Linked DNA regions of Rattus norvegicus. The protein of the gene in region 3 interacts with the protein of the main gene of each other region in a pairwise test. Links are inferred from orthologs where the notes say so. Each region holds a gene or a part of one and is shown on either strand. Other genes may lie near its edges. The genes, in order: Dusp23, Otud4, Exosc8, Slain1, Exosc10, Morn4 and Txndc17.

Region 1 (3,829 bases), on a different chromosome or scaffold from region 3:
CCTAATGACCAGCGGCAACAAAAGGAGGGTAGGACTTCTTCACACCACGTGTTGTAGGCTTAGGTGAGTATGTTCCTGACCATAGGAACCAACTTCTTTAAACTCCTGGTTAAAAAAGTGCCCAGGGTTTTAAACTCCACAATGTGTGGAAGAGTGTGAAGATGGCTGTGTGAAAAGAATATCATTTCCTGGTTGACTGCAGGGAAGTGTGCTATTAAAAGGGGGGAGGGATGTGGAGCAAACAGATCAGCAGTTAAAAGCACTGGCTGCTCTTCCAGAGGTCCTGAGTTCAATTCTCAGCAACTCCATGGTGGCTCCCAACCATCTGTAATGGGATATGATACAGCTGTCTGAAGACAGCTACGCAGTACTCATATACATGAGATAAATAAATCTTTTAAAAAGGGAGAGATAGATTCTGGAGAACGGTATCTTGCTTAGCTTCCTCAGTGACTAAAATGGGGTTACTGTGATCATCTATCTTATGTCAATTAACATTTATAAAAAGTGCTCCCACGAGCACCTAACACAAAGCAAATGCTCAAATATTGTTAACTCTTATGTTGTTGATTGTAATTACTACTTTACCGTGAGTACCATTTCCGGTGCCACATGTTCTCCTCCCTTTAACAGTCCCAGCAATAAGAAAATGAAATTTCCTATTGTCTAGGACATAGTAGTTCCCTCTTATTACAAGAACTCAAGAAGACACCAACTGTGACTGCTTGGTCAGAGAAGAGATTACCCACTCACACCCGCGCCCAGGCAGAAGTAGATCTGTCTACTACTATTTAAACCCTAGTGCAAAAACTGTGAAGAGGAGACCAGGCCCTTACGCTCCTGGCCCACCATGCAGTAACTCCAACGCACCACCAGGGCGCAGCAGAGCCCAGCCCTGGGCTGTTTTCTCTACAGGAGCAATTAATTTGTTCCAGGTTTCCTTAGTGTATTTGCTCCCGGCTGCAATAATCACGCTTGTTGTCGATTACCCAGCCTATCAACGAGTGCCCTGCTCCGCATCCGTTGGGCTGTAGGGCTTCTCTGCAAGCCCTAAGAGCCCTCTTAGCCCCGCCCCCGCTGTTCAGCCAACCCTGGGTGAGGAGGAACGTCACGGGGGCGGGTCCGAGAGACTACGTGAACCGCTAGGACAAGTGCTGAGCAGGGGCGGAACCCAGCCCCAGCGGGTGACCCGATCGCAGGGCGTAGGAAAGGCCAGCCTCGCTCCGGGTACCCTCCCCCCACGATGGGCGTGCAGCCCCCCAACTTCTCCTGGGTGCTCCCGGGACGGCTGGCCGGGCTGGCGTTACCGCGGCTACCCGCGCACTACCAGTTCCTGCTGGACCTGGGCGTGCGACACTTGGTGTCCCTGACGGAGCGCGGGCCCCCTCACAGTGACAGCTGTCCCGGCCTCACGCTGCACCGACTGCGCATCCCCGACTTTTGCCCGCCGGCCCCCGAACAGATCGACCAATTTGTGAAGATCGTGGACGAGGCCAATGCCCGGGGAGAGGTCAGAGCGTTCGTGAGCTCAAGCGAGAGGGCGGGGCCTGGAAGGAATGAGTGGGCGGGGTCGGGAGCTGGAGTCCGAAAGGAGTGGGGGAGGGTGGGGTGGGAGCTAGAGGGACCCATCCCCCTGACTAGAGTCAACTATGCTGCTAGGAGAGGAGGTGGTGCCAAGTAACTAAATTAAGTACTGTCAAGCGAAATACTTCCAGGAGTCGGGAGAGCGCTGAAGTCAGATGGAAGCGGTTCAAAACCCATTTACTAGAGGTCCATATGTCATACAGAAACGCTTGTAATTTTAAATTTTACTAGCAGCTACGTTTAAAAAAAAATGTGAAAAAGAAGCAGGTGACGTTAATTTTGTACTAATCCAGTAAGTCAAAAATACTATTTCAACATAGAATCAATATGAAACAAATTATTAATGAGGCCTTTCCAGTCTTGCTCATGCCGCATCTTCAGAGCCTGGTAAGTATTTTCCACCTCATCTCAGCATCAGGAAAAGTGGCACCACAAGTGACTGGATGTACTGTACAGGACAGCACAGGTTAGAGGCCAGGAGGTACAGGCTGAGAGCCCAACTTGGAATCAGCCATTTCAGAGGCCTCCTGGTCACCAGAAGCAAGGACAGCCCGCCACAGCTTTAATGTCACTTCTTGTCCCGCGAGGGCCTGTGATGTGTGGGGCGGGGACAGGAGAGTGTCTGGAAGGGCATTGGACTCCACTCTATCGGTCTCCACTTCACAGGCTGTTGGAGTGCACTGTGCTCTAGGCTTTGGCCGCACTGGAACCATGCTGGCCTGCTACCTGGTGAAGGAGCAGGGTTTGGCCGCAGGAGAAGCCATTGCTGAGATTCGGCGCCTGCGACCAGGATCCATCGAGACGTATGAACAAGAGAAGGCCGTCTTCCAGTTCTACCAGCGAACAAAATGAGGGGTTCGGTAGCCCCCTTCCCCCTCCCCGACTCCTGCTGCTTATAGCAAGTGTGGCGGGCTGGAAGGGAAAAGGACTAAAAAAGTACTACCTCCTTCAGCGCCCTCTGGCTCCTATTGGACAAAAGAGGCCCAACCCCAAAGCCATAAAATCCTGGCTGGCAGGATGGCCCATGAAAATGAAGTGGTAACTAATAAGAGCTCATTACCACTGCATAGCGTTTACACAGCACTCCAGCGCATAAGCTTCCTGTAGCCTGTGCTGTGGACAAGACGAAGGACACTTCTGTTCTTTGGATGAGGTGGCTAGACTTCAGAAAGGCCTACGGTCAACAGTTCTAGGAAACAAAAGGATGGAGACCTTTTGTCTCCTCAAAGAGGATGGGATTCTAGGTGCTGTTCCCTGACCGGATGTGATAGAGGAGAACTGGTCAGCGAAAGAGATCCCTCAGGGCAGCCTCGGGGCTCTGCACACCCACACTGGCAGTACCCTGTTGATATCACCCTTTACGTAGGGTCCTCTGTCCTACCTGAGTCACCTCTGTTCCTCTCAGGGTACAGAAGACCTGCATATCCTGCTCACAGATGAAGTCTCTATATTGTCTGTCTGTCTCTCCCTCCTCCCTCCCCCCTCTTCCCATCCCCCTCCCCCTCTCTCCTTCTTCCCTCTTTCTCTCCTTTTCCTCCCCTCCTCCCTCCTTCTCCCCCTTCCCCTCTCCTTCCCCCCTTCTCTCCAGGCTGGTCACCTCTTACCAGCCTCAGATGTGTTCAGCTCACCTGTTACCTCAGATCCCTATGTCATCCCCAGCCTCAGACCAAGGAATGCTGGGACTGCATCTTGGCAGTTACAGGGTGGATATTAAGTAATCAAATAAATAACTCTGGGACTATGAATCTTGGTCTTGTTTCCTAGATGTTATCCTCACTTCTCCCCTGCTGGACTCCGTCCTGCCATGAACACCACACTTTGGACTTTCTGAGAGATGAGATAAATGCCGTACTTGAGCCTAGTGGATTATTTTTTCCATGCTGGCAGTCTGAACTCGTGCCCTATCCTCTGCCATAGCAGGCTGAACCGAATACGGGAGAATTCACCCTGAGGTATATGCTGTGTGCCTGTGTGAACCAGGTGCTGTTAGACATGGAGCCAACTCAGCAGCGTAAGCCAAGACTCCTGTTCTCAGAGGCCCTGCCTCCTGGAGAAGAAGGGGAATGACAGTCCCTTCACATGTGACACACACTAAAGGCTCTCTCTACTATTCCAGACACAGGACAGTCAAGTTCCCTACAACCTCCATCTCATATCAAAGCCCAGAGCCAGGCCTATACCAGCCCCTCCCCCTGCACTTCATTCAGTCTTCCCTGCTGCCCCTAACTCAATATTGTCCAACTCA
Region 2 (3,500 bases), on a different chromosome or scaffold from region 3:
TGTCACATCACAGTTTTAACAGAGGACAAACACTGTATATGACTTTGTCAAGGGTAGATCAGGTTAGTGTAGTGATTAGGAGGGAAGATGTGTACTATGTTCTTGGATTATCTTCACATTCATATTGGTGGGTTTTGAAGTATACTTGGAATGATGAGTGTTTTTTTTTTTTTTCTCAGTCTAGACTCCAAGTTCTTGCTCTCTTTAGTGTATATTTGGAGGTTAGTTTGAAACATAGAGGTGGATTTCTTAAAGAGGAATTGTAGGATAAATCCTCTAGGAGCTAAGTAGAACTTCATTCATCTTGAGTCTCATCAGCCTTTTGGCCACCATATGGTCTTCTTGTTCTAACTTTGCTTGGAATACTGGATCTGAGGTACTGTCTTGTTACCTTTCTCTTATTCAGAGGCACCTCAGCGAGGCCTTCCCACCGCTTTATGCTGCTGTGCCTGCTCCCTCTTCTTTTCATAGGACTTTGTTCTTACTGAGTTGGTTACCCAGCTAGTTTGCCTTTACCTCACTAGATTCTACGGCAGTTTTGTCTCACTGCTTAGACCCGAGCAGCCTACTAATACGCAGTGTGCAGCACATAGCAGGCACCGTATTTGTAGCATCGATGATTGAAAAGTGGGTGGTGATGGCTTTTGACTGATTGTACTGAAGATTAGGAAGTGTTTTTTACAAAAAGGTTGGTTATGACTTGACATTTTTACAATTGGGGTATTTGGCTTTTTTATTGTAAATGTTATAATTTGATTGTACCAGTTTTTTTTAAAAGCTTTGTAATACTTATTAAATTTTAGGTTGAGTCTTTTGTAAATTGTTACTTCATCCATTCAAATACTGCAACCTGCCACCACCATTTCTGTTTTTTGTTTACTAAGTCAGTAAGAATTACTAGTATTAAGTCTGATATGTATATGTAACATTGTAAAACTTGAGTTTATTGCAGCCTCATGTTTTTGGCATGTAATTGTAGTTAAGTTTAAAACATGCAAATTTTCATTTTCTAATTATGGTTCTGTTCCTTTATAGGAGTAAAAGCACTGCTGCTACTGATGTGAATGGATTTAAGTCCTCAGGCAGTGAGGTATTTTTAATTTAATACTTTTAACTTTTATATGTAAAGAAACTATGATTTTTTTTTTTTTTTTTTTTTTTTTGGGATCGTCATTTCTAATAGTAAGGGTTGCTTTGCTGGTATGAAGTTGATTTGCCACTTCCTGCTTTATTTTTAAGTTTTTTTTTGTTTTGCTTTTATGCATATTTGAAACTGTTTTAAAAGCATTTTTGTGTTAATTGGACTTCTGACATTGTTTATTTAGAACCCTAAGAACCATGGGAACTCAGCTGACCTTCCTTTGTCCAGAAAGGTTCTTAAGTCCCTCAGCCCAGCAGTCTATAGAAATGTGGAGTATGAAATTTGGTTGAAGTCTAAGCAAGGTGAGTTAAACTAAGTCTTCTGTAAAATTGCCTTGTAGCACTTTAATAATGAAATTCACAATATGTTTTAATGAACTGTTTTTAAACTAACAGCTCAACAAAAACGTGATTATTCCATTGCTGCTGGCTTACAATATGAAGGAGGAGAGAGATGCCATGTAAGTGATATCTACCAAATGAGAGTGTGACTTGAATTGACTCTTACTTTCTGATACTCTCCAAAGGAATAGCTAACTAAAGTTTGACTGTAGTTATAACTTGGATTTCAGAATTCATTTATCCTAAATACATTATAAATATATTTTACTCTAAATACATACAAGTAAAATGTAGAATAATCTTAATGTTGAAATTCATACATTTGTAAAGCCACAGTTTTGATGTTACTTGTTTTTGAGACAGTGTCTCACTTTTTAGTCCTGGCTGGCTGGAATTATATAGACCAGACTGGCCGGGAAGTTAGACAGATCCGCCTGCCTCTGCCTCCTGAATTCTGGGCCTTTGTCCCTTTTATTTGAATATAGTTTACTTGAAATCTTAAGCAACTGGAATGATACACAGATGACTTGTTTACTCAAGTATGTAGGATATACTTTATAGTTTTTGGTAGGAATAGCTGTATAAAAAAAGGCCAGTGAGGCTGGATATGGTGGTGTATACCTTTAATCTCAGCACTTGGGGAGATAGGCAAGTGGGTTTTTGTGAGTTCATGGCCAGTCTGGTCTACATAGTTCCAGGACTATACAGTGAGACACTGTCTCAAAAACAGCAAAACAGAAAATGGCTGGCAAGATACTCAGCAGAATCCTTTTGCTCTTTCAGGGAATCTTGAGTTGGTTCCTAGCACTCATGTCAGGAAGCTTACAACTGTGTTCCAGCTCCCAGGGATTTGGTGCCCTCTTCTGGCATCTGCTACTCCACAGGTGGCAGAAGAAACATTTAAGACATTACCCTTTAAAAATCTTTTTTGAAAGTGGTTAATGAGGAATGAAATTTCTGCTCAGGACTCTGCTAACGCTTGGAAAAAGGGAGTCTGTGTAGAGCAGAGCTGTGTTTACTGTGCTATCTTACCTGTTGGCAGCCATTGGCCAGTGCACAGGGTTATTGTGTGCGGTTTGCCTAGAAGAAACTTCAAGACATCCATGTCCACACTATTCAGTTAGCTATTATTATTAATGGGGTTGGTAAGAAACAGCAGAAGCATCCCTTTTTAAGGAGCAAAAGTTACATTACACCTTTTTAGTATAAAAACAAAGATGATAGTAATAATAGTTCACTCATCTGTAAAGTGGCTGCTCTGTGGACTGCTGTCCCCTGTATGATGTATATCTCCATTGCATCTCCAGTAACTTCCTCTTACATTATTTTCTGTGTTAGCTCCAATTTGTGTGTGAGCAAACAAGGTAAGTGAATTGTCCAAGGTTGTTGCTAGCAGTAGACAAGCCAGGCTTGGAGGCCAGGAGGGGTTGACAGCCGCTGGTGTATGTGTTCCTTACAGTTCGGTGGGTTCTGCTCCTGCTTCTTGACATATTTATAACAGTAAATTTGACAAAAGAAACAGTCTTTTAGGTAGAGAGGTATGGTGCCTTAGGGATACAGATTCTATTGAAGCTCTTGTACTCATTTTTTGTTTTTTTTTCTGATAAATGTTTACATTAACCAGGTGTCTGATGTCTCTCTCTGGTGTTCAGCAGGTTAGATTGGATCATAATGGGAAGTTATCTAATGCAGACATTCATGGGGTTCACTCTGAGAATGGACCGGTTTTGTCTGAAGAACTGGGGAAAAAGTATGTATTCTTTTAGTTAAGGTGTTTGTTACCTCTTAGATTTAACCTCTTACAAATGTGAATACTTCTAAATGCCTATGTATTAAGAAATTCAATAAAAGACATCCTGTATATAAAAGTTTAATTGGTTAGACGTTAGAAAAATCATGAGGGGTTGTGGAATTGCCTTGCAAAGGAACTGATAGATCCATCCATCTATTTTGCTTTTGTTTTTGTTTTTTTTTGAGAACAGGTTTCTTTGTGTAGCTCTGACTGTCCTGGTATTCTA
Region 3 (4,169 bases):
AGTCTTCTCAGATTGCCAAGCTCAGAGGAAAATATTACACTTAATGTTTTGCACAGTGCTTAAAAACAACCACAGGCTTCATAGTTTCTTGAGTTTCTTCCCTCAGATACCTCAGTCTGTAGTAGGAAAGTCCTCTGCTCACATCCAACTATTAAAGATTTAAATGTTGCTTCCCACTTTATGGAAAAGATAATCCAAGACCAAAAATATTGTCCAGTACTTTAAATAGAGTGCAGGCAGGATTTTAATCTGCAATGATGCTTCCTTGAATTAGGGCAACCGAGTATGTAAATAAAAACTGTCCACACAGGGTTGGAAGTGAAGTTCATGTGATGTCCCCTCTGCTATCTTCTCATAAGCACAAAGCTTTGTGGGTGAGGGGTGGGGGCGTTCTATTTCTGAGCACTGGGAACTGCTATCTATTTCATCACAAGTTAGCTTTCAACTTACTCGATTATTTGTTAAAATTTTAAGACTATTTAACTCACCGACATATCCTCTATCAGGGGCATCTACTGGTGGTGCTGCAAATTCCTACAAAAGCAAATAATATATTCCAGTGAGAGAAGCCACTCAACACGATGATATTCTGGCCATTCACAGAGGCTGTACCAAAGACCACTTCAGCCAGTTAGATTACGTTGAGCATCTGGCAGGGGCCCTAAGGATGCTGGCACTGCCTTCCCAATGGCTCCCAGGGGGGTTAAAGGACAGTATAATCAAACTCTGCTGCTCATCAACCAGGATCGGTGGGATTATGCCCACTCTTTGTGACTTGTTCAGCAGCTGAAATCTGAATTTAATCCCCAAGTGATACACAACCAGGCCAGGGAGTTAGTAGTGGCCAGAAGTGAGGAATATAGCAATAACTAGCCCAGTGCCTGCAGATCCACACAACAGACTGAGAGACTGGGCGAGTTACTTATCTTTCATATTTCTCTGCTGACACACGGACAGATAAGCAGTACCTGCCTACTCCCAGGGGCGCCCAAGTGAGACAGTGCCAGTAAGTCTCAGATAGAAACCTGGCAAAGAGTATGAGCTCTGATCCTTATCACTTCAGCTTAACCACAAACCTAAACGAGGAGAGTTGCTCAGGGTAACATGAGAAAGCGCAGCTTTTGTCATTAGACTCTGCCTACCTTCTACGTAGGGGCAGAGATTGGTAAATCTGTAGAACACCTAAAAAGGTCAGCAGACACTCACTACTCCTGTGTGACTGACGATTAAAATCTATCAGTGGCTAAATGGGATCACAAAACAATCTCAATTTCAAAAACAACATTGCCAAAATCTTCAGTATGCAGTAGTGAGGATTCAGGTTTGATTATTTGCCTTATAAAGAATTAATGATGCGCACATGTTTAAAAAAACAAACTTGATGGAATATCATTCTAAATATCAGCCCGATTAAGAGCCACTCCTAAGCATGAGGCTAATTTGGAATTCCGACGCTTACAGCCATACAGGAAACCTACTGCTTTAACTCCACAAATGACTGTGGTGTTCCCCAGCTTCACTAGAGCAGAGCCATCCGCTGTACTGATCGAACCTGGAAAGGTAAACACCATATTTATTTAAGAAAAAAAAAAAGAATTAAAGAAAAAAAAGAAGAAAATAAGCACAAAGCCTCCTACAAAGTAGTTTAAATCTTTCAGTTGTCTCGACAAGTTCAGGCCGTATTACTACTTAACGTTCTTAATTTTTCCCTTCTGTCTCCAAATCTGAACTAACGTTTGGATCAACTACAAGGTTGGTGTGATGATAAAAATCTCTTAACACCAAATGTCTTAGACATAGCAGAGCTGGCGGGAAACTATTTGGCACCAAGGATAAATAAAGGTGGGGGCTGTCCCACCCAACTGAAATGAAGCTTATCCTCACCTATGTTGACAGTTGTGGTTCTGAATTCACCAAGTTCTCTTCCATCTGGACGGCAGTTTTCTTTCTAAATGTTTATAAGGAAGCAGATTATTTATGTATTATATAATACATAAATATATTTCTTAGGCTGCAGAAAACACATGCTCTAAAGTACGAAATCACCTCTACTCACCAGAAATCTCCTGTAATACTCCAGCGGTTCCACAGTTCTGAAACATGTTTAAAATGTGTCTGAGTCAGTGCATCCTAAAGCGTAAACCCAGAATTTAAGAGTGTGGTGGTTGAGACACCAATCCCGACAAGTTCGGGCTTTTGAAACTGTGTTAACCATATTTACAAAAGCCATATAGTAGCAACCAGTTTTCAGCGGCGACCTTAACTGTGCCAAAAGGAATGGAGGCCCTTGGCACACTTAGAAGAGGGTTATCCTGGGTGTCAGTCACATCACGTTTGCTCTGAAGCGGGGAACTTAGCGTGACTTCACTCCGTAAGCCGCATTTGCCAGTGTCTACAAATTTACCACGGAAGAGTGTATTTTTACAATTACTGGAGCTCCGTTTGTCCACATCAACTACACGCGGCCAAAAGTTACAGCAGGTATAAGTGCACGCACTCGCAGACACGAGTTTAAGGTTTGCACGAGTGGGCGGGCAGCTTTGGGTCTAATCAGAGCGCCCCCAAAGGTTTCAGTCCCTTCCGAAGGCGGCACTGCGTTGAGAGCGGCGTTGCGCTCGGTTAAGAGGTCAGGGTCGTCCTGGATGTGCTGTCCCTCAGCGCCTCAATGGGCAGAGCCCTCCCGCAGCCCTCAGGATTCCCAGTCCGCCAACACGCGCAACACCCGCACCAGGGCCTCTTTTGCGCGCGCTACCACTCACTTGAACCCGGCCGCCATTTTTCCTGCTCGCACTGCGCCTGCGCAGCCCTCTGCGCCTGCGCCCTCCCCTTGGTAGGCGTGGCTCCAGCCCAGAGCACTGTTTGGAATCCTGGGTTAAACAAGTGCTGCCGGAGGCTGCTGTTCTCCGGCGCACGGGGCATCAACACCAGCTCCTGCCACCCGGAGCGTCCCGCTCGTACCTAGTTAGAATCAGGCCTGTGGGGAAGAGCCGGGGTCGATACTGTTCACAACCGCCTGCAACGCCAACCCCCGGGGTCCCACGCCCGGGTCCCCACGGGCGTGCGCGCTCGTGCACAAACATCCTTACACACACGCAGACGCGCGAAATGGAAAGGGGTGACTCTAAAACACTCCACGGCGCCGGGCATCCTTAGATGGCAGCACTGCGCGGCGTGTGGGTGAGGCCCGTAGCTTCGTCAGTTCGCACAGATCTAGTGCTTTCCTCCCCACACTCGGGGACCGGTCTGCAATCCTCAGCGGAGCCGCGCGGGGGCGCTGCGGGCGGCGGGCGCGGGCCAGTCCGGCCTCTCCTGCGGGTCGGGATGGGGCGGGGCGCTGCGCCGCACGCCGCTTCCGCAAGTGTGGAGCTGCGGGATGGCTTCGCTGCTACTGCAGCTGGTGGGGCTCGGCGTGGCGCTGGCGGCTGCCGCGCTCATTCTGGTGAGACCGTGGTGGAGTCCCGTGCTCCGGGTGTCCCCTCCGCGCTTCCCTCTCGTGCTTGGCCCCCTTGGCCTCAGATTCCCTGAAATCCTTGAACCTTTATTTCCCCCTTTGGAACCTTATCTGGGTGCCCAGAGCCTCTGCCCAGCTTCTCGGGGCTCCTGCCACCGAACCCCCGCCTGTCACATCCCACCACACTCCCCAGCCTTATTCTTGGGCCTCCCGTACGTACTGCAACTGGAAAGAGAGCAGTAGATCTATAAGGCTAGAGACAGAGACTATGGGTGAACAAAAGACAGGCCCAGATCCCTTTCTATTAATTTTGGCCAGTTGTTGGTTTTTGTTTCTGTTGTTTGTTTGTTTGTTTGTTTCTCCAGAATCAGGCACCTTAGCGTTTTCTTTGCCATTCCTATAGAAACGTAGCAGATCCCACCCCGTTGATTTGTAGAAGAGGACTTACTTGCCAACTGAACTCTGCCACATAGTTTGAAAAGGAGCCTGTAACTCAGAAAGCTGATTTTGAAAAACTTTCTTGTATTGGGACTAGATGGCTAGACAGGTGGTCAGGAAGGCCTCTGCCACTTTGCCATATTATGTACACGCACAGTCTTGGAATGGTGTAGCCAGATGACTGTTGCTGTGTGTCTGGGTGAGTCAAACGCCCTCCTTTACTAAAATACCTTCTTTAAAGGCTTGGAACAAATCAGAACTTTGTTGGCAACGTCCAGGT
Region 4 (3,500 bases), on a different chromosome or scaffold from region 3:
CAGTTATGACATTCATGCTGGAATACTGCAGTTACACCACAGCACGGAGGGCTCTCATACACAAAATATTGGGCAAAATGAAGCTCCACACAAAAAAAGGACATGGCTTGTGATTCCAGTGTAGGGATGGCCAGTGTGTGGTGACAGAGAGGAAACTTGTTCTCTTGGGAGATGTTCTCCCTGGTGGCTGGAGCATGGTGGTCTTGAGATGGGGAATACACAGACGTGTTCACTAAAGAAAGTCACCAGTTAAACCAGAAGCTAAGCCAGATTCACAGACTGCACTGTCTTTTAATTAACAGATTTCTTTTAATTTAAAAACAGTGAGCTAAAAAACTTTGGCACCAAGGCAAAAGCATGCCATAGTTGCTGTTAAGTTAGTGTTTTTGTCTTCAGGGAAAGGGGTACCAACTAAACGCTCCTGCCTGTTTACTACTGCAGACTACAAAATAATGTTCAGCATTGGTAAAATTTTAAGGATTCTTACTCAGATCACTCCCTTCGTTTTATAGATTTTGTCGCTGTTACAAGGGTCAGAGTGGTGCTTTTTAATTGAGTGGTTGCTGACGGTTTAAGCGCTAAGGCTTTAAGTAGATTAATTAGCTTCTCAAATAAACCCCGAGACAATATCACAGTGCATGCTACCTAAGGAATATGTTTGTGCCTACAGAGACTGTTCCTGACTTCCTGTCTGTAATTATAACCGTCAGATCATCCCCATGGTTTGTTTTCATTAGGCCATTGTTAGAAAAACCATCAAGAGATTCCGTGGGGGCTGGAGAGATGACTCAGTATTTGAGAGTACTTGCTGCTCTGGTAGAGGACTCCAGTTGAGTTCCCAGCATCCACATCAGGTGGCTTGCAACCATCTGATGCACACACACACACACACACACACACACACACACACACACACACACACACTGCATGCACATACACATGTACACATATGTAAGTAAAATAAGTAAATGAAAATAGATCTTAAAAGAAATTCTAATATCTTTTAAGGTAAAACAAATTTGTCTTGGACATAATTTGCCTCAGAACAATTCAGAGATTCTTAAATTTTAGAGTCGTCTTCTGAATATTCAGTGGCCTTTGAGCAACACAGATATGATCTGAGCAGGTCTGCTTATATCTCTACTGGTTTCTCTTGAGATTTGAAAAGTTTTATTTTGAAAAAACTTGTAGGTAAATCTTGCAACTTAGAAATCTCAAGGAAGTTGAGAAAAGAATATGTAATTAATACATAAAATAAAGATACTTGGTATGCTATTTTTATTATTTAATACCATACGTATATACAAATCTGTTATAATTTACGCTTGCACTTAGAGACCATCCATGTCCCCACTCATATGCCAGAGAAATATAAACACAAAGATACCGCATAAACCCTGATTATTTTAAGTATAATATGACAACGTTAATTGATAAGGCTTTGAGTCAAGGAGGGTACTGACTGAAGTTTGGGGAAGTCGTGAATTATAATCTGATTTTTGACCTTCATGCTGTTCATAGATCAACTGTATTCAGGCATAGGACTGCAGACAGACAGAATAGGAGAGCCCTGTTGGGGATTCTCTCCCACTGAAGGGTGCTTAGCACCCGTACATCACTTACCTCTTGCTTTCAGAAACATAGGCGCCTCTGAATGTAACACTTCTAATTGAAGGCAGTGCAAGTCCCTCACACTGACTTTATTTTTCCCCGGCAGTCCCGTCACCAGGACAGATTCAGCACAGAGTCCACAGCGTGGGGCATTTCCCAGTGCCCATCCGGCAGCCCCTGAAGGCCACAGCCTACGTCAGTCCGACTGTTCAGGGCAGCAGCAGCAGCATGCCTTTGTCCAATGGCACACAGTTATATTCCAACACCGGCATCCCTACCCCAAACAAAGCTGCGGCTTCCGGGATTATGGGCCGCAGCGCCCTTCCGCGACCTTCCTTGGCAATAAATGGGAGTAACCTGCCTCGAAGCAAGATTGCACAGCCTGTCAGGAGGTGAGAACTTCATCCCTGTGACTGTATCGCTGCTTGGAAATTTCTCCAGCTCACCCTCACTCTTCTCTGGCTCAGGTTAACCACAGGTCATTGTCCTTACGACACTCTCCGGGCCCCTCTTTCTCGGTCAGATGGTGGATGTCTCTGCGCAGTCAGATTCCGCTCTCTCTCCCTTCACTCTGATTCCTTGGCCCATCTGTGGAGCTCGCGCTCCACCCTGCCCCAGGTTACTTGTGTAGCAAATTTCCTCCCTCCTTCAGGTCTGCACACCTCCGCTCAAGGTTTGAAAACATCTTAGTTTTACTCAGCAGGAACCAGTTTGTATTGTAAGTTCCAGATGGCCCAAGCAAGCTTTTTTCTTGGCCTAAAAATGCCAAGTTCTGTATAGGGTACATTTTAGACAAAGGTAGTGGCGGTAATCCTGGCTTATTTTCCTTGCTAAATGCAGAGATGTGACATCTCATGGCTGAACAGAATTACATGACATATATGTGTCCATTATTGGGGCCCTCTATTTCTTGAAGGAGGAGGGTTGGATTTGTATCCCTAGAGAATATGAGAGGATCTTTTTTCTTCAAACTTGAGAAAAGTTTTTCGGGTTTTTTTCGAAATTAATTTTTGAAATACTGAAAATATTTCAAGATTACTTTTCAGTTCTTTGTTAGTATGGTAGAAACATTTATTTAAATAAATGCCAAGAATTTATGCATGTGTTCAATAAAGTCGGTTTATGTTTTTAGCTATTTTCCCCATTGAGGATCTTACCTTTTACTTTCTATCTTAAATTTGTTTTTGGCCGGGCGAAAATTACCTTGTGCGCATGCGTATGTGGCTCTGTGCTCTGGCCTCCGCTCCGGCAGATGGGCAGACACTATGAGAACCCCGAAGGATGTAACTTGATACACACTTGTGACAGTGACAACAGCTTGTCATTAGGGGATGAACCAGCCCTGATGGGAGAGGGAGGGGACCAGAGTGAGTGATGTCAGGGGCGGGATTACTAACAGCCCGTTTGCCTTCTTCGTCTCCTTAACAGTTTCCTGCAGCCCCCCAAGCCTCTATCTTCACTCAGCACACTGAGGGATGGAAATTGGAGAGACGGTTGCTACTGATGCAGTTTTATGGACCCTTGTAGAATGGGAAGAATCGAAAATGAGGGTGTGTTACCTAGCTGGCTGGGTAACCGTGGATGCTGGGATGCTCTCCCCTTCACCCTAACACGTGCGCACGGCATCGTTTTCAGTGGACCAATCACCAGAGACTAACGATCGCACTTACTCTCTGCCTGAAATACTGTGGCAACCCCAAACCCATGGCCACGGTATTGTTACCTTAGATCTAGGAAGTTTTTGTAGAACTGCTCTGTACCTGAATACTTTTTGAGAGAGATTGAGGCGTATCAATAATGCTTTGCCATATGGGGTTTTTAAAGTACCTTTGTTCATTTTACCTACGTGTTCTAAACACCTTTCCATTACGTGTTCTGCATTTTAATAC
Region 5 (4,077 bases), on a different chromosome or scaffold from region 3:
CCGAGGATGAGCAGGTGTGCCAGGATCTCAGTGCAGGGTCCACGCTGGCCCTGCTGCTGTGTTCAGTGAGGGATGGATATGTTGTGTTTGCAGCAGGGACTCAGAACACAAATGCTTTTGTGGAAGTGCTGATCTCAGAGGGACACTAGCGCAGGTTGTGAATTAAGAGCAAAGTAAATATCCAACTAAACACAAAGTATAAGTGAAGCCACATCTAGACACCATTGTATCTGAGTAATTTTTGTGCCAATAAATGACATCAGAATTTTAAAAGTATTTATGTGTATGGCTTTCTGTTCATTATTTTGCAAATTCTCTTATTGGGCTTTGGCTTAAACTCAGTGGTAAGCCACTGACTAATGGGGACAGGAACCTACACCATTACATTCCATCACTAGACAGGCCAAGACAGAAACAGGCAAACAAGGATCTCTTGAGATTCTGGACTACACAGAAAAACCCTGTCCTTTTTGTTGTTGTTGGTGGTGGTGGTGGGTTTTTTTTACACTCCAGATTTTATTTCCCTCCCAGTCCACCCTCCGACTGTTCCATATCCCAAACCTACTTCCACCCAATCCCCCGACCACGAGGCTGTCCCCACCCCACCCAACCTCTAAACTCCCTGGGGCCTCCAGTCTCTTGAAGGTTAGCTGTATCTTCTTTTGAACCCAGACCCAGCAGGTCTCTGCTGTATATGTGCTGGGATCCTCAAAAAACAGCAAGTGTTCTTTTTTTTTTTTTTTTATTCATTTATTATATATAAGTATACTGTAGCTGTCTTCAGATACACCAGAAGAGAGCATCGGATCTCTTTACAGATGGTTGTGAGCCACCATGTGGTTGCTAGGAATTGAACTCAGGACCTCTGGAAGAGTAGTCGGGTGCTCTTAACCACTGAGCCATCTCTCCAGCCCAGCAAGTGTTCTTAACTGCTTCAAAGCCTCTCTTCTCTCCCTTTCCCAATATTTTAAACAAACTGGGAAAAATCCAATCCTTGAGTAAACGGTTTTGCACGCCTTTAACCCCAGCACTTGGGAGGCTGGATGCAGGCGGGTCCGGGGTGAAGATCTAGCTTTAAATGTAATTTCAATTGTATCCTCCCTCCAGTCCTCACCCTAGCCCACAGGTTTGTTAGGATACAACGTAAAATTAAAGAAAAGCCTAAATCTCCCCATCGTTGGCCAAGTCGTGTAACAAGTTACACTACTTACTTGGTGTGGGGCGGGGTAGTGGTATTGAGCCGCGCGCATGCGCGTTACGCTCTTCTCCGGTCCGCCGGAACAATCTCGCGAGAAGAGCCGCCCTAGGACGGAAAAATGGCGCCTCCCAGTCCCCGGGAGCATCAGTCCGCGCCAGCGACCGGTGCGACCAAGCCTGACGCGGAGATGGTACTGCCTGGCTTCCCGGATGCAGACAGCTTCGTAAAGGTCAGTTCGCGGGCTCTGGGGCACCGCTGTTTTAGCCGGAAGCGGGTCTGGGGCTGCGGGCTTCTGGCGCCTGTCACGGCGGCCTGACGGCGCGCACGGAGAACGGCAGCGAAGGGCTCCGCGCTTCCGGTGTGAGCGCGAGCGGCTTCGCGTAGAAAGCTGTGTCCGCGCCTTCGGAAGGGCGTCCGTCATCCACGTGGCGCACCCTGCGCTACCTCTCCTGAGGAGCCCAACAGCTGAGCGACTCTCCCGCCCATTGCTCACCCCGCTGATGCACAAACGTCTATTGCCCCAATCTCTTGGGTTGAATGTCACAGCGACCATCGAGCCCCTCTCTAAATGCCAAAGCGCACTCACCAGTACCTCTTGAGAAGGAAGATAGAGTTTTTATTTAAATTCTTTGTTCACAAAATTCACGATGCTGTCATGAGACGTTAACACCTCCCTTACGCTGGGATCCCCAACCATGAGATTATTTTCATTGATGGCCTTGCTGTGGCAGTCTATGTAGACATTAACTTTAAAATAAATCGCGATCCTCTTGGTTAAAATATATTTTTTCTTTGCTAATTCGTAACTAATTTTGCTACCGTTATGAATTGTAATGTAAACAGGCAGGGTATCTGAAATGGGACCCAAGGGTTGAGAGCCACTGCCTTAAAATAAGCACCCACTCTTTATCAATGACAGCCACTTGTGATTGTTTCCCATTCATTACCTGCCTCACAACAGTCTACCTAAACCACTGGTTATAAAATGGTCACCTGAGTCGGGTGGTGGTACACAAATCCAGCCCTTGGGAGGCAGAGGCAGGTGGATCTCTGTATGTTTGAGCCCAGCCTAACCCAGGTCCTGTACAAGAAGTGCTAAGCACTCTTAACGCTGATCGGTCTCTCCAGCTCCCTGGGATATATAGCTTTAAAATCTTGTGGGTTTTTTATTCCTGAGTAAACAGGAATCCGTGTGTAAGATGCATCTTTTTCTCTGATTTTCAGTTTGCACTTGGGTCGGTAGTGGCCGTTACCAAGGCATCTGGGGGCCTGCCACAGGTCGGTGACGAGTATGACTTTTACCGAAGTTTTCCTGCCTTCCAGGCATTTTGTGAGACACAAGGAGACAGGTTGCTTCAGTGGTGAGTTTATTACGTTGATTGAAAGAAATAAAAGATTGTCCTGAGAGTGGCATACCTCAGTTGTCGGGAGATAATGAACGTGATTGGGTTCCTGAGTCTGAACTCCAGTACTAGCCATCACCAAAGAAACGCTGCCTAAATGCCATTAACCAGAGGGACATAGGATAATTGTGTGGTCTGTGGCTGTTGGGGAAGAATAGCGGCTCAGTGTGGAGCCCGGACTAGCCTGGAACTTGCTATGTAGACCAAGCTAGCCTTGAAATCTTAGAGATCAACCTTCCTCTGAACTCACTTCCCCTGAGTGCTAAAATGAAAATGTCAGCCATCACAGCCAGCATGATCTATGATCTTTAAAAATAGGGGGTTGGGGATTTAGCTCAGTGGCAGAGCGCTTGCCTAGCAAGCACAAGGCCCTGGGTTCGGTTCCCAGCTCCGAAAAAAAGAAAAGAAAAAAAAGAAAAATAAGAGGGCCGACAAGATGATTCCGTGGGTAAAAGGCATCTAATGCCAAGCCTGACAGCCTGAGTTCAACCCCTGAGACTCTCGGATGGAGAAAGAGCTCACTCCTGCAGACTATCCTCTGGCCTTAACACATGGGCGGGGGAACTCACACACACACAATATCTGTTTATGTCAAAAGTCTTTTGCTGCGTGTGGTGGCTCATACCTTTAATCCCAGCCTTAGGGAGACAGAGGCAGGTAGATCTCTGAGTTAAGGCTGGTGTGGTCTGTATAGTGAGTAGAGCAGCCAAGGCTACACATTTCTCATCTGATAATTGTTGGGGGAGATCACCGTGAAGTTATTTTGCTGAGAATAGGCCTAACTCACCAAATTACACAGGTGTCTTCAAACTCACTGTGGCCTGAGCCTTCTAGGAAGCCGGTGTCACAAGCCTACACCATCAGGCCTGGCTTGGGGTCCTGTGTTTAAAGGTTGTTGTGAAGATGTACATTGGGTTAATTTTATCCAGGGTGCCGGGAACCCTGTGATCCAAGCCATTTGAGGAGTTTTCTCAGACTGTAGGTTGGTAGAACAAAGGTGCACGTGCTGACCTTGGTTTTCCTCGATTCCTTAGCATGAGTCGGGTGATGCAGTACCATGGGTGTCGCAGCAACATCAAAGACCGAAGCAAAGTCACTGAGTTGGAGGACAAGTTCGATTTACTCGTCGACACCAACGACGTGATATTGGAGAGAGTGGTGAGTGCCTCCCATCCACAGAAGTAAGCTCTCAGATAGAAGGCTCAGATATCAGTGGAAGGAGAAACCCCAGCTCTATGGAAAGTGAAATAAATGTAGCCAGTCCTAATGGCCGTACCTGTGCCTCGCACTAGGGAAGCAAAAGCAGGCGGGTCTCTGAGTTCCAGGCCAGCCTGTTCTACACAGCAAGACCTCTCCAATAGATGGATGGGTTGGTGGATAGATAGATAGATAGATAGATAGATAGATAGATAGATAGATGGATGGAATTGTATGTATAGGCACGTGCCATGAATGCCGGTGTCCGTGGAGACCAGT
Region 6 (4,276 bases), on a different chromosome or scaffold from region 3:
ATTCCAATTTTGGGGGGCATTGGGGAGAAGGTTTGAGACAGGGTTTCTCCGTGTAGTCTTGGCTGTCCTGGAACTCGCTCTATAGATCAAGCTGGCCTCAAACTCACAGATATCTGCCTGCCTCTGCCTCCCGAGTGCTAGGATCAAAGGCGTGCACTAGCACCGTATGCCACCACCGCCCTGCATCCTCACTTGTCAGTCATCTTAGCTCTGACAGGAGCAGTCGTTAGTGAAGGAGCTGTCAGTCAAATGGTTCCAGTTCCCAGTCAGACACTGACCCACTCACCGGAGAATCTATGGAATAAACAGAAGCCATCTCCATGATGTCAGGTCTAGAGTCCTGACTTAGGATCTGGGAGTATCGTGGGGTGGTTTTAAGCTGCTAAGGGCTGGGTTAATTCATTGTTTAGTGGTAATAAGCAGAGTACCACCTGCCAACCTACCCCGACACCATTCCGTGCTGGTTTTCAAGAGTATATATTACAAATTTCCATTCCTTTTCAATCTAGAAAGATACAGTAAATTCAGCAGTGGTTTCTTAAAACCATGAACAGTTTCAAGACTCAAATCAGAAGTGCTAATTAAAAGGAACATATGTAGAACTCAGGGGTCTCGGGCTATGGCTGAATACATTTGTCTAGGAACTGCAACATGTGTCCAAACAGGTGATACTGTCACATCCTGGGAATTTCACCAGTAACCAAGATTATCCATAGTTACTGAGGCAAATATAGATTAATAAAGTGTATCCAGTACTAATGCAAATGGGAAACCCAATACTTTAATAAGGAACACAGATCGACGTCTATAATACTTGCTTAAATAATCCTGTTGGAGAAAATTGATGCCCTAGGCTTCAGATCTATACCTGGAATCCAGTCACAAACCAACACGATCCACATTCCCACAGAGGCCCTTTCTGTGCTTGTGACAGACAAGCTGCAAATGATCAGATGGAAACGTAACCTAAAATTACCATTTTTTTTTTGTCCCTGTAATCCACTGTTCTGGGACTGTTGGAAAGAGACTATATCTTTTGCTCTCTTACTTTTTTTCTTCAGTGGATGGCTCCAAACAGAACTCGAAGACAGTGATAAGAAATTGTTTTCATTTTTTAGAAGTGCTTTGAGTTTATGTGTCTCTGTGTGAACTTGCATGAATGTTTGTATGCTATGTGTGTACAAGAGCCTGTGGAGGCCTGAGAGGCCTTTAGATTCCCTGGAACTGGAGTTACAGGTGGGTGCTAAGAACTGAATCCTGGCCCTCTGCAGGAGCAGTAAACACTATTGCCATGCCTCCCCCACCTTTTCTCCTTCTCCCTGTCTCTCTCTCTCTCATAAAACCAAGCTAACTAAAGAACATTTATGCATTTGCAGCAACTTTTGTCTAAATCAAGACGTTTTTGTTTGTTATTTGAAGGAGGATTATGTAGTCCTTGGTTGTCCTGGAACTCACTATGTAGACCAGGCTGGCCTTGAACTCAAGAAGATCCACCTGCCTCTGTCTCCTGAGGCTCCACCATGTATGTCCAGCTTAAATTAAGAAGTTTTAAAACAAAATAACAACAATTCTTCCCTCCCCAACCTGAGAATAATCATATCCCAGTTAGAGACCTTTTGTTTGGAAGCAGACACCCTAACTATCCACACCATCTCCGAACTGTTCCCAAAGCCACTTCCTTGGGTAGGCAAGCTAACAAAAAATTCTTTTAGTTACAAAGGAAGCAACCATAAGTTTTTAGAGTCCTAAGAGGGGAAAATGAAAGCTCTGATGAGCAAAGATTAGGAAACTGGAAATACTGTTTAATAAAACGTGTTTTTAAATGAATATGAAATAATTAGGGTTTTAACTTTAAAATTATAATCTCCTTCCTATCTGGAAAGTAAGCATTGGCACTGTTATGATAAGCAGGTTTTATTTTTAGGGAGAATGTGGGATGGTTAGATTGAAGAAGATGAAAAGAGAACACTGGTACCAAGAAGAAGGTTTTTAAAAAGACAATGACACAAGAGTGATAGGCTCGGGGTTGGGGATTTAGCTCAGCGGTAGAGCACTTGCCTAGCGAGCGCAAGGCCCTGGGTTCGGTCCCCAGCTCCGAAAAAAAGAAAAAAAAAAAAAAAAAAAGAGTGATAGGCTCTCCGGAGTAATATTGTCACAACACTATTCTATCTATGCTAAGGGAAGGGACAGTGTCTGGGCCGGGCTCTAATATAGTGAAGTTACTCTGGTTGGGTCCTAAGTAGTTCGTGGATGCTGAATTACAGAAATGACAACCCATTCCCCAAGCCTCAGTAAGTGGGACATCTCCCTACCTGTGGCACAGACGCGCCCTAGATTAAACAAAACCCCAGACTTCGACACGCAACCCAGTCTTCCACTGCATTTTTCATTTCAGCCCGGTTCTGTCCTTTTTTTTGGGGGGGGGGGTGTCGGCTCCCACTCCACAGGCTCTTCAAGCTCCCACAGATCTGGCATTCCCTGCAGACACAGCCCGGCACACCCCTCTTGATAACCAGTGTCCTGTGTTCTCCAGGGCTACGACCTCTGGATCGAAACTCCAAACCCAATTTTGGGATCCCACTGGTAGCCACCTTCTTGTCAGTACAGCCAGGACAGAGGCTCCTTCCCCAGCCCAGTCACCTGCTTGCCGCCTCAGTCCTTACCTGGTGGACCGCACTCCCAAGTCCTCTTCCCACCCGCGCCGCAGGCCAACCTGAGCTCGGCTTCTCGAAGACGACTGTTACGCCCCGACTTGACGCGGGGCTCCAGCAGCTAGGATCTTTGCTGCTCCGGGCTCCCCACTGCCACTTTCCCCTCTGCCCCGCCACCCGCCTCAGCCCCACTGGACGCCGCCATCCCTTACGGCCGCACTGGGCACAATTCCCGCTGTTCATTGGCTGTTACCTAGGCAACCGCGAGCAACGCCACTCCCCATTGGTCCAGCCCTCTTTCGTGCCATCTTTGTGAGGGGCCCAGTGTTTTGGGAGTCTGGGCCAAAGATCTGAAAAAGGGGTGGGGCTGAGCCTGCTGTCCAATCTCATTAACCCCAACCGAAAAGAAGGACTCAGGTTTCACGTCTTCAGACACCTCCAGGCAGAGACTTTAATCCTAGATAAGGTCGAACGTGTGTTCAAAGTGGCTACATTTCAAAAGGTTGTGATTTTTAGATTCATAAACAACTCCACCGCTAAGTATGAAGAGAAAACCTAAACCCAGATTTAGAAGCTCAGCTTTATAATTAATGATGCGCTGCACATTTCCATTCATAGGGACTCTCTGTGTTCCACATCTTTTGTATTTAAAACCTAGTGCCACTATTGGAGCAAATCTTCCCAAATACTGTTCCCGGATGTCCGTGTAGCCATATGTTTGTTTAGTGAAGTGCATGCGGGAGAAGCAAGTTCTTCAGGGCTTGGAAAAGCCCTGGTCGTTGATGCGTCTCTCATGGGACTCATGACACGAGTGAGGCGTTGAAAGACAAAGCAAACTGGTTCAAATTGCTTTTTGGATTAGGATTCCTTCAGCCGCAGGTTAGAAAGTAATAATGATGAAAGTGATAGAGGGCTTTACAGGACTTGTGTGAGAACACAACGCCAAAGGGACGGTAGTTTTGCTTTGTTTTTTAAAGATTTGATTTCTGTGCTCAAATCCTATCTTTTGCTACTTACGAATTGTGTGTGTTTTGAGTAACTTAGTAAGCTCTCTAGCCTGTAAAATGAGATCGGACAATACATTCAATGTGGTACTAATTACTCACTTGGTAATGTAAGCTAAACTGTGGAATTGATTGTAGATTAAAGTGCAGTCACTGAGAAATGGATTGGAAAGAAAGGGATCTTCTTAGAACTCGTGCTAGGAAATAATAAGGAAAAAATGAGATTAAATCACAGATTGTGCGGGACCAAATTATGGGAAGACTTATAAATTAGCACAAGAGTTTGCAAACTGTAGTTTCTTTGATGGCTTGAAACTGTAGTTTCAGCAAGATGGCTTGTTAGGTCAGAGCAAATTACCTTGTCTCGTCGGGACACAGCATCCAACATCATAGGAGTTTTAATGGCAGTTAATGGAGCTAATCCATGTAAGATACTTAAAACAATGCCCAGTGCAGACTTAGCACTGGGTAAGTGCTCTCCCAGCACATGTGTATTAGGACACACGCTTACCTAAGGGGGAAATATAGTTCCAAGGGGTAAACACAGAAATAAAGTTTGAGGGGAAAACTCAGAATCCCAGGGAGAACTCAGAATCTTGGATCTTTCCTTGCCCATATTTT
Region 7 (4,154 bases), on a different chromosome or scaffold from region 3:
TAAGCACTGAACCACCTCTTCAGTCCACATTCTTGTAGAGCAATAGTTGGGCTTTTCATTTGTGACAAGGCCTGGTTCAGTAGTGTACCCCTTGCCTCAAACTTGTGATCCTCTTGCCTTATTATCTAAAGTAATAAGATTACAGGTGTGTGTCTATGCCTGACACAATTTTTGTTAGAAGAAATTGACATTTAGATAGTGCTTTGCCTGTGACTAGCCTGTTTCACACCAAGAGAATCACATTTTAGACATTTGGGAAACAAAATTGCCTGAATTAAGCATATGAATTCTATGACTCTCCTCCTAAATGGTTTAATGAAGGTCTCCATTTCAAAGACAGGAAAGGGTTTTGCAAATACACAGAATTTAAGGTAATAAATACCAATTGCTACAGATTTGGAAGTTAATAAGTTAATTTTATCTTCAATATTTCCTTTGAGCTACTACTACCATACTGAAGACCCATTTTACTCAAATCTTTTAGATAGCCATGTGTTAAAAACTAGTTAGAGGTTTATATTTTAATTCTTTATTGTTTAGACATACACTGATTTACTCATTTACTCATCAAAGAAATTATGTGGCTTCTTTTAAAGGAACCAGACAGACAATATAAAATTGCAATCATTAGGCTTTTTGGTTTTTTTCCAGACAGGGTTTTGCTGTGCTGCCCCTGCTGTCCAGGAACTCAATTTGTAGACCAGGCTGGCCTCAAACTCAAAGAGATCCAGCTGCTCTGTCTCTACCTCTGCCTCTGCTGGGACTAAAGGCATGCGCCACCACAGTCTGGCAAGGTCATCAAATCTTAATCTTCAGAGAAGATCATCTCTACGAGGTTGGATTGGCGGCACTCAGACTCCACAAGTTTTTGAGGCTGTAAAAAGAATGGTTAAGTTTTCACTGCTGCTATGAATATTACTAGGGGTGGAATGAATTCTACTTTGAATGACAAATTTTGAACACAGAAATTATGCCATCAGAAACTATCAGCTAGTTATAACAAGTTTTATTAAATAGTTAGGATACTTGTCTCAAGATGAATCATTAAAACACTTGGCCCGAAAGGCCTTAAATTTCCACACCAGGAAGCCCCATAGGCTGGAAACAAGAGATAGCATGCCCAGTGCCATCTCTTTCCCTCCACACTTTAAAACACCTCAGATTCTAATATCTGCATTATTAATAGTTCACCGGATTAGCAGAGGATGGACACCAACTTGTGTGTTTTTGATGCACTCTAAACAACAATGTAACAACAAATTGTTGGAACTCAAACTTGACTTTAAAGCAACTTGAGTTTTAACTGCATTATAGCTACAGCATAAAAGTAGATACTTGGGCTGGAGAGATGGCTCAGCGGTTAAGAGCACCCGACTGCTCTTCCAGAGGTTATGAGTTCAATTCCCAGCAACCACATGGTGGCTCACAACCATCTGTAAAGAGATCCGATGCCCTCTTCTGGTGTATCTGAAGACAGCTACAGTGTGTACTTATATATAATAAATAAATAAATCTTTAAAAAAAAAAAAAGTAGATACTTACTGTTCCATATTTAAGTAGTGTAGGCACTGCAGTGATTTTCAGTTTTTGTCTGAAGTCATTATTTGGGTCTTTCCAGCTGTTCCAAAAGGAAAAAGATAATGAAAAATACTACTTGGTTTATTACAGTTTACTCAACAGTTGGCCTATATATATTAGCAACCATTACTTTTGTTAACATTTTAGCATTTTGAGAACTGTAACTTATGTGTCACTTTCTGCAAAATTTAAAGTGTGGCTAAGATAAAACATATATGTAAAGTCAATTGAGTTCTGAACTTATTCTAGACCAAATTCATTGATGATGATATGTGGCTGAACATAAACGGTAAATATGAATTCAATAATTCCAATTGTTTGGCTTATTAGACAATACCTAAAACACAGAGCCTGACCAATTATCTGAGGTCCTTTCTAGCCAACTTTTTAATAATCTAGTTCTTGTCTGGAGCTACGGTATAGATGATTGGTCACTTACTAAGGTTTGTCTCCTACTTGGCAGTAGATGAACACACAGTCTTCAGTGACATGCTTCAGCCCCTCTCGAATGATTGGCTCAGCTTTTTAAAAAAGTTAAAAAGTAATTATACAACAACTGCGATAACTGCGATAGCCCAAGCCCTCCCCTCTCTCCAGTCTTAGACTTTAACCCGTTGTAAGATAGGTTGTTAAAGTCGGTGTCCTTTGGGCTCATGAATCACTTAAGTCCTAGTCCTGATTGTCTTTAAGACACACGCAGACAATCAGCATACATATTGCTAACGGGAAGATTAGCTCGTGAGTCTGGTCTTTCTTATGAGACACTAATCGTTTGGGGAACTGAGAATTTAAAGAACCAGGTTCCAAGATCTGAGTCCATGATAAAAATGAGGGTCATCCTTGGGTGGAGCTAGTAAGGACCTAACTAGAGACAGGGTACAGCTCAGACGCTTCCGTGGATCTGCAGAACCAAAATCCTCATCTCATCCCACTTTCTGACTTCAGTAAGGGGACCTCTTCCCACCACTTCTGTGGTGAAGCAACCTCTAGTCCCAGTCTCACCTTCCACGCAGTCCGGACACCAGCTCTTCCCTTCAGTATCCTTAGAACCACTGAAGAAGGCGAAAATGGTCTTGCCCTGATGCTCCTTCACTGCCTTGTCGAACTCTTCGAAGCCCAGCACGCTCACCTCCTCGAAGGTGGCCATGAGTACAACAGTCCAGAGAGGAATGCAGGAGGTGCCTTAGGGTCCTGCCGCCTCAAGGCGGGGCCCAAGTAAGGCGTGGTCAAGTTTCCGGGTGGGCGGTGCTGTGCTACGGGAGCCTCAGATGGCCATAACTCTCTAGGGCCGTCTTTTTGGTCTGCTGGAGTTTCTTTTTGGCGCCAGTTTCCTTCAGACATCTAGACGCCTGACCTGGTCTAGTCCCTACCCTGGCTTTATGGACAATGACCGCAAAACCGGTCGCGGTACAACACCTTGATCCTCAAATGGCTCAGGAAGCTCAACTGCTCCCAAACAGCCGCGCGCCTGTTGCCATGGCGACTGGGCGAGAGGCCGGAAGCGAGGCCTAGCTTGAGGTGGCCTTACGGTCTCGGTGGCCGCGCCTCGCCCAAACCAGGTGGGCTCGGGTCAGAGCTGGGGGAATTCTGGGAAGCTGCATTTGGCAGAGAGACAGTGAGAGAGACCTCGCCTGGGCTTGCCTTGCAGCTCCGCCCCTTCTGTTACCTTTCCATTTGTCAGACTTTAGGGGGGCCGAGGCTGGGGGCGGCGTCCGGGATTGGGCGGGGGTTTGGAGAGAGCTGGGAGGCAGAAAGGCAGAGAGGACAGAATCCGAGTGTTGTGAGTGCATGTGAGGGGCACGCTGTCTAGGGGAACAGGTGCAAAGACAGGTTGCATTGGGGAAAGGAATTGTCCAGGAGCTGCGAGTCCTGTACGGGGCTCTTGACCGGGCTACGTGGGTGTACTCTGGCAGCGAAGATGCCGGCTCGTTGCGTGAGGGCCGGCAGGTTGCGGCGGGGTGTTCCGCCTCCGTGGGCGAGGAGGTGGGGTGCAGGGATGTCCCGAGGCTATGGAGTAAGGCGCCGGGTGAGGTCTTCAGTGCGGCGGATGCTCTGTGCAAACATAGGGAGGGTGCAGAATGGTCGGCGGCCTTTACAGAGGACTGTGGAGCCTGCAGTATCCCCGGGGGTGAAAAAGGCCGTTGGGACATCTGGGACTGCAGGCTCGATTGAGGCAGCAGTGGACCCTAGGACAGTGTGGGTGAATGGGACTGTGGGCGAGCCCGAGGTGGTTGGGCCTGCTGGGTCTGTGTGGGTGACTGTATCTGGGAAGGAGGAGCTAGACAATAGGAGCTCACCGAGCTGTGAGAGAAAAGGTCGTCCAGGAACACTTGGCCATGAGAGCATCCTGGAACTGTGGTTGAAGGTGCAGGCTATGAGGGTAGCTTCAGGATGCTGGGAAGGAAGCAGAGTGGAACTTCATCCTGTTCCTGCGGGAGAGGGGCCAGTCGAGAAGGGTATTCCTGGGCGAGCTTCCTGGGTAGAGACCAGCCGAGATGGTGTTACAGGACCATGGGTGAGAGGACATACTAGGACATTCCCCCGGACCTCAGGACTGCCCACAGCTAGGGGAATAG

The links.
Region 1: the proteins of Exosc8 (region 3) and Dusp23 interact in binary tests that used the Homo sapiens proteins (3 or more experiments, as listed by UniProt). The two-hybrid records come from large-scale screens. The link is inferred for Rattus norvegicus from reciprocal best matches to the Homo sapiens genes EXOSC8 and DUSP23.
Region 2: the proteins of Exosc8 (region 3) and Otud4 interact in binary tests that used the Homo sapiens proteins (3 or more experiments, as listed by UniProt). The two-hybrid records come from large-scale screens. The link is inferred for Rattus norvegicus from reciprocal best matches to the Homo sapiens genes EXOSC8 and OTUD4.
Region 4: the proteins of Exosc8 (region 3) and Slain1 interact in binary tests that used the Homo sapiens proteins (3 or more experiments, as listed by UniProt). The link is inferred for Rattus norvegicus from reciprocal best matches to the Homo sapiens genes EXOSC8 and SLAIN1.
Region 5: the proteins of Exosc8 (region 3) and Exosc10 interact in binary tests that used the Homo sapiens proteins (3 or more experiments, as listed by UniProt). The link is inferred for Rattus norvegicus from reciprocal best matches to the Homo sapiens genes EXOSC8 and EXOSC10.
Region 6: the proteins of Exosc8 (region 3) and Morn4 interact in binary tests that used the Homo sapiens proteins (3 or more experiments, as listed by UniProt). The two-hybrid records come from large-scale screens. The link is inferred for Rattus norvegicus from reciprocal best matches to the Homo sapiens genes EXOSC8 and MORN4.
Region 7: the proteins of Exosc8 (region 3) and Txndc17 interact in binary tests that used the Homo sapiens proteins (3 or more experiments, as listed by UniProt). The two-hybrid records come from large-scale screens. The link is inferred for Rattus norvegicus from reciprocal best matches to the Homo sapiens genes EXOSC8 and TXNDC17.

What each region holds. Positions count from the first base shown.
Region 1 is NC_086031.1:87,629,745-87,633,573, reverse strand, and holds Dusp23 (dual specificity protein phosphatase 23), read left to right. Parts: upstream 1-1,173; 5' UTR 1,174-1,243; coding exon 1,244-1,510; intron 1,511-2,250; coding exon 2,251-2,436; 3' UTR 2,437-3,329; downstream 3,330-3,829. UniProt on the Homo sapiens protein: Protein phosphatase that mediates dephosphorylation of proteins phosphorylated on Tyr and Ser/Thr residues. In vitro, it can dephosphorylate p44-ERK1 (MAPK3) but not p54 SAPK-beta (MAPK10) in vitro. Able to enhance activation of JNK and p38 (MAPK14).
Region 2 is NC_086037.1:45,160,137-45,163,636, reverse strand, and holds part of Otud4 (OTU domain-containing protein 4), read left to right. Parts: intron 1-1,035; coding exon 1,036-1,090; intron 1,091-1,325; coding exon 1,326-1,443; intron 1,444-1,536; coding exon 1,537-1,601; intron 1,602-3,137; coding exon 3,138-3,232; intron 3,233-3,500.
Region 3 is NC_086020.1:141,084,298-141,088,466, forward strand, and holds the start of Exosc8 (exosome complex component RRP43), read right to left. Parts: upstream 2,801-4,169; 5' UTR 2,777-2,800; coding exon 2,760-2,776; intron 2,094-2,759; coding exon 2,057-2,093; intron 1,949-2,056; coding exon 1,885-1,948; intron 1,553-1,884; coding exon 1,479-1,552; intron 535-1,478; coding exon 489-534; intron 1-488. Other genes in the region: Alg5 (dolichyl-phosphate beta-glucosyltransferase), read left to right, coding at 3,374-3,439. UniProt on the Homo sapiens protein: Non-catalytic component of the RNA exosome complex which has 3'->5' exoribonuclease activity and participates in a multitude of cellular RNA processing and degradation events.
Region 4 is NC_086033.1:86,952,976-86,956,475, forward strand, and holds part of Slain1 (SLAIN motif-containing protein 1), read left to right. Parts: intron 1-1,717; coding exon 1,718-2,003; intron 2,004-3,039; coding exon 3,040-3,115; 3' UTR 3,116-3,500. UniProt on the Homo sapiens protein: Microtubule plus-end tracking protein that might be involved in the regulation of cytoplasmic microtubule dynamics, microtubule organization and microtubule elongation.
Region 5 is NC_086023.1:164,277,163-164,281,239, forward strand, and holds the start of Exosc10 (exosome complex component 10), read left to right. Parts: upstream 1-1,277; 5' UTR 1,278-1,316; coding exon 1,317-1,427; intron 1,428-2,422; coding exon 2,423-2,559; intron 2,560-3,635; coding exon 3,636-3,759; intron 3,760-4,077. UniProt on the Homo sapiens protein: Catalytic component of the RNA exosome complex which has 3'->5' exoribonuclease activity and participates in a multitude of cellular RNA processing and degradation events.
Region 6 is NC_086019.1:250,845,144-250,849,419, forward strand, and holds the start of Morn4 (MORN repeat-containing protein 4), read right to left. Parts: upstream 2,801-4,276; 5' UTR 2,664-2,800; intron 1-2,663. UniProt on the Homo sapiens protein: Plays a role in promoting axonal degeneration following neuronal injury by toxic insult or trauma.
Region 7 is NC_086028.1:57,329,958-57,334,111, reverse strand, and holds the start of Txndc17 (thioredoxin domain-containing protein 17), read right to left. Parts: upstream 2,801-4,154; 5' UTR 2,726-2,800; coding exon 2,581-2,725; intron 2,100-2,580; coding exon 2,018-2,099; intron 1,619-2,017; coding exon 1,543-1,618; intron 875-1,542; coding exon 806-874; 3' UTR 1-805. Other genes in the region: uncharacterized protein LOC134480818, read left to right, coding at 3,497-4,154. UniProt on the Homo sapiens protein: Disulfide reductase. May participate in various redox reactions through the reversible oxidation of its active center dithiol to a disulfide and catalyze dithiol-disulfide exchange reactions. Modulates TNF-alpha signaling and NF-kappa-B activation.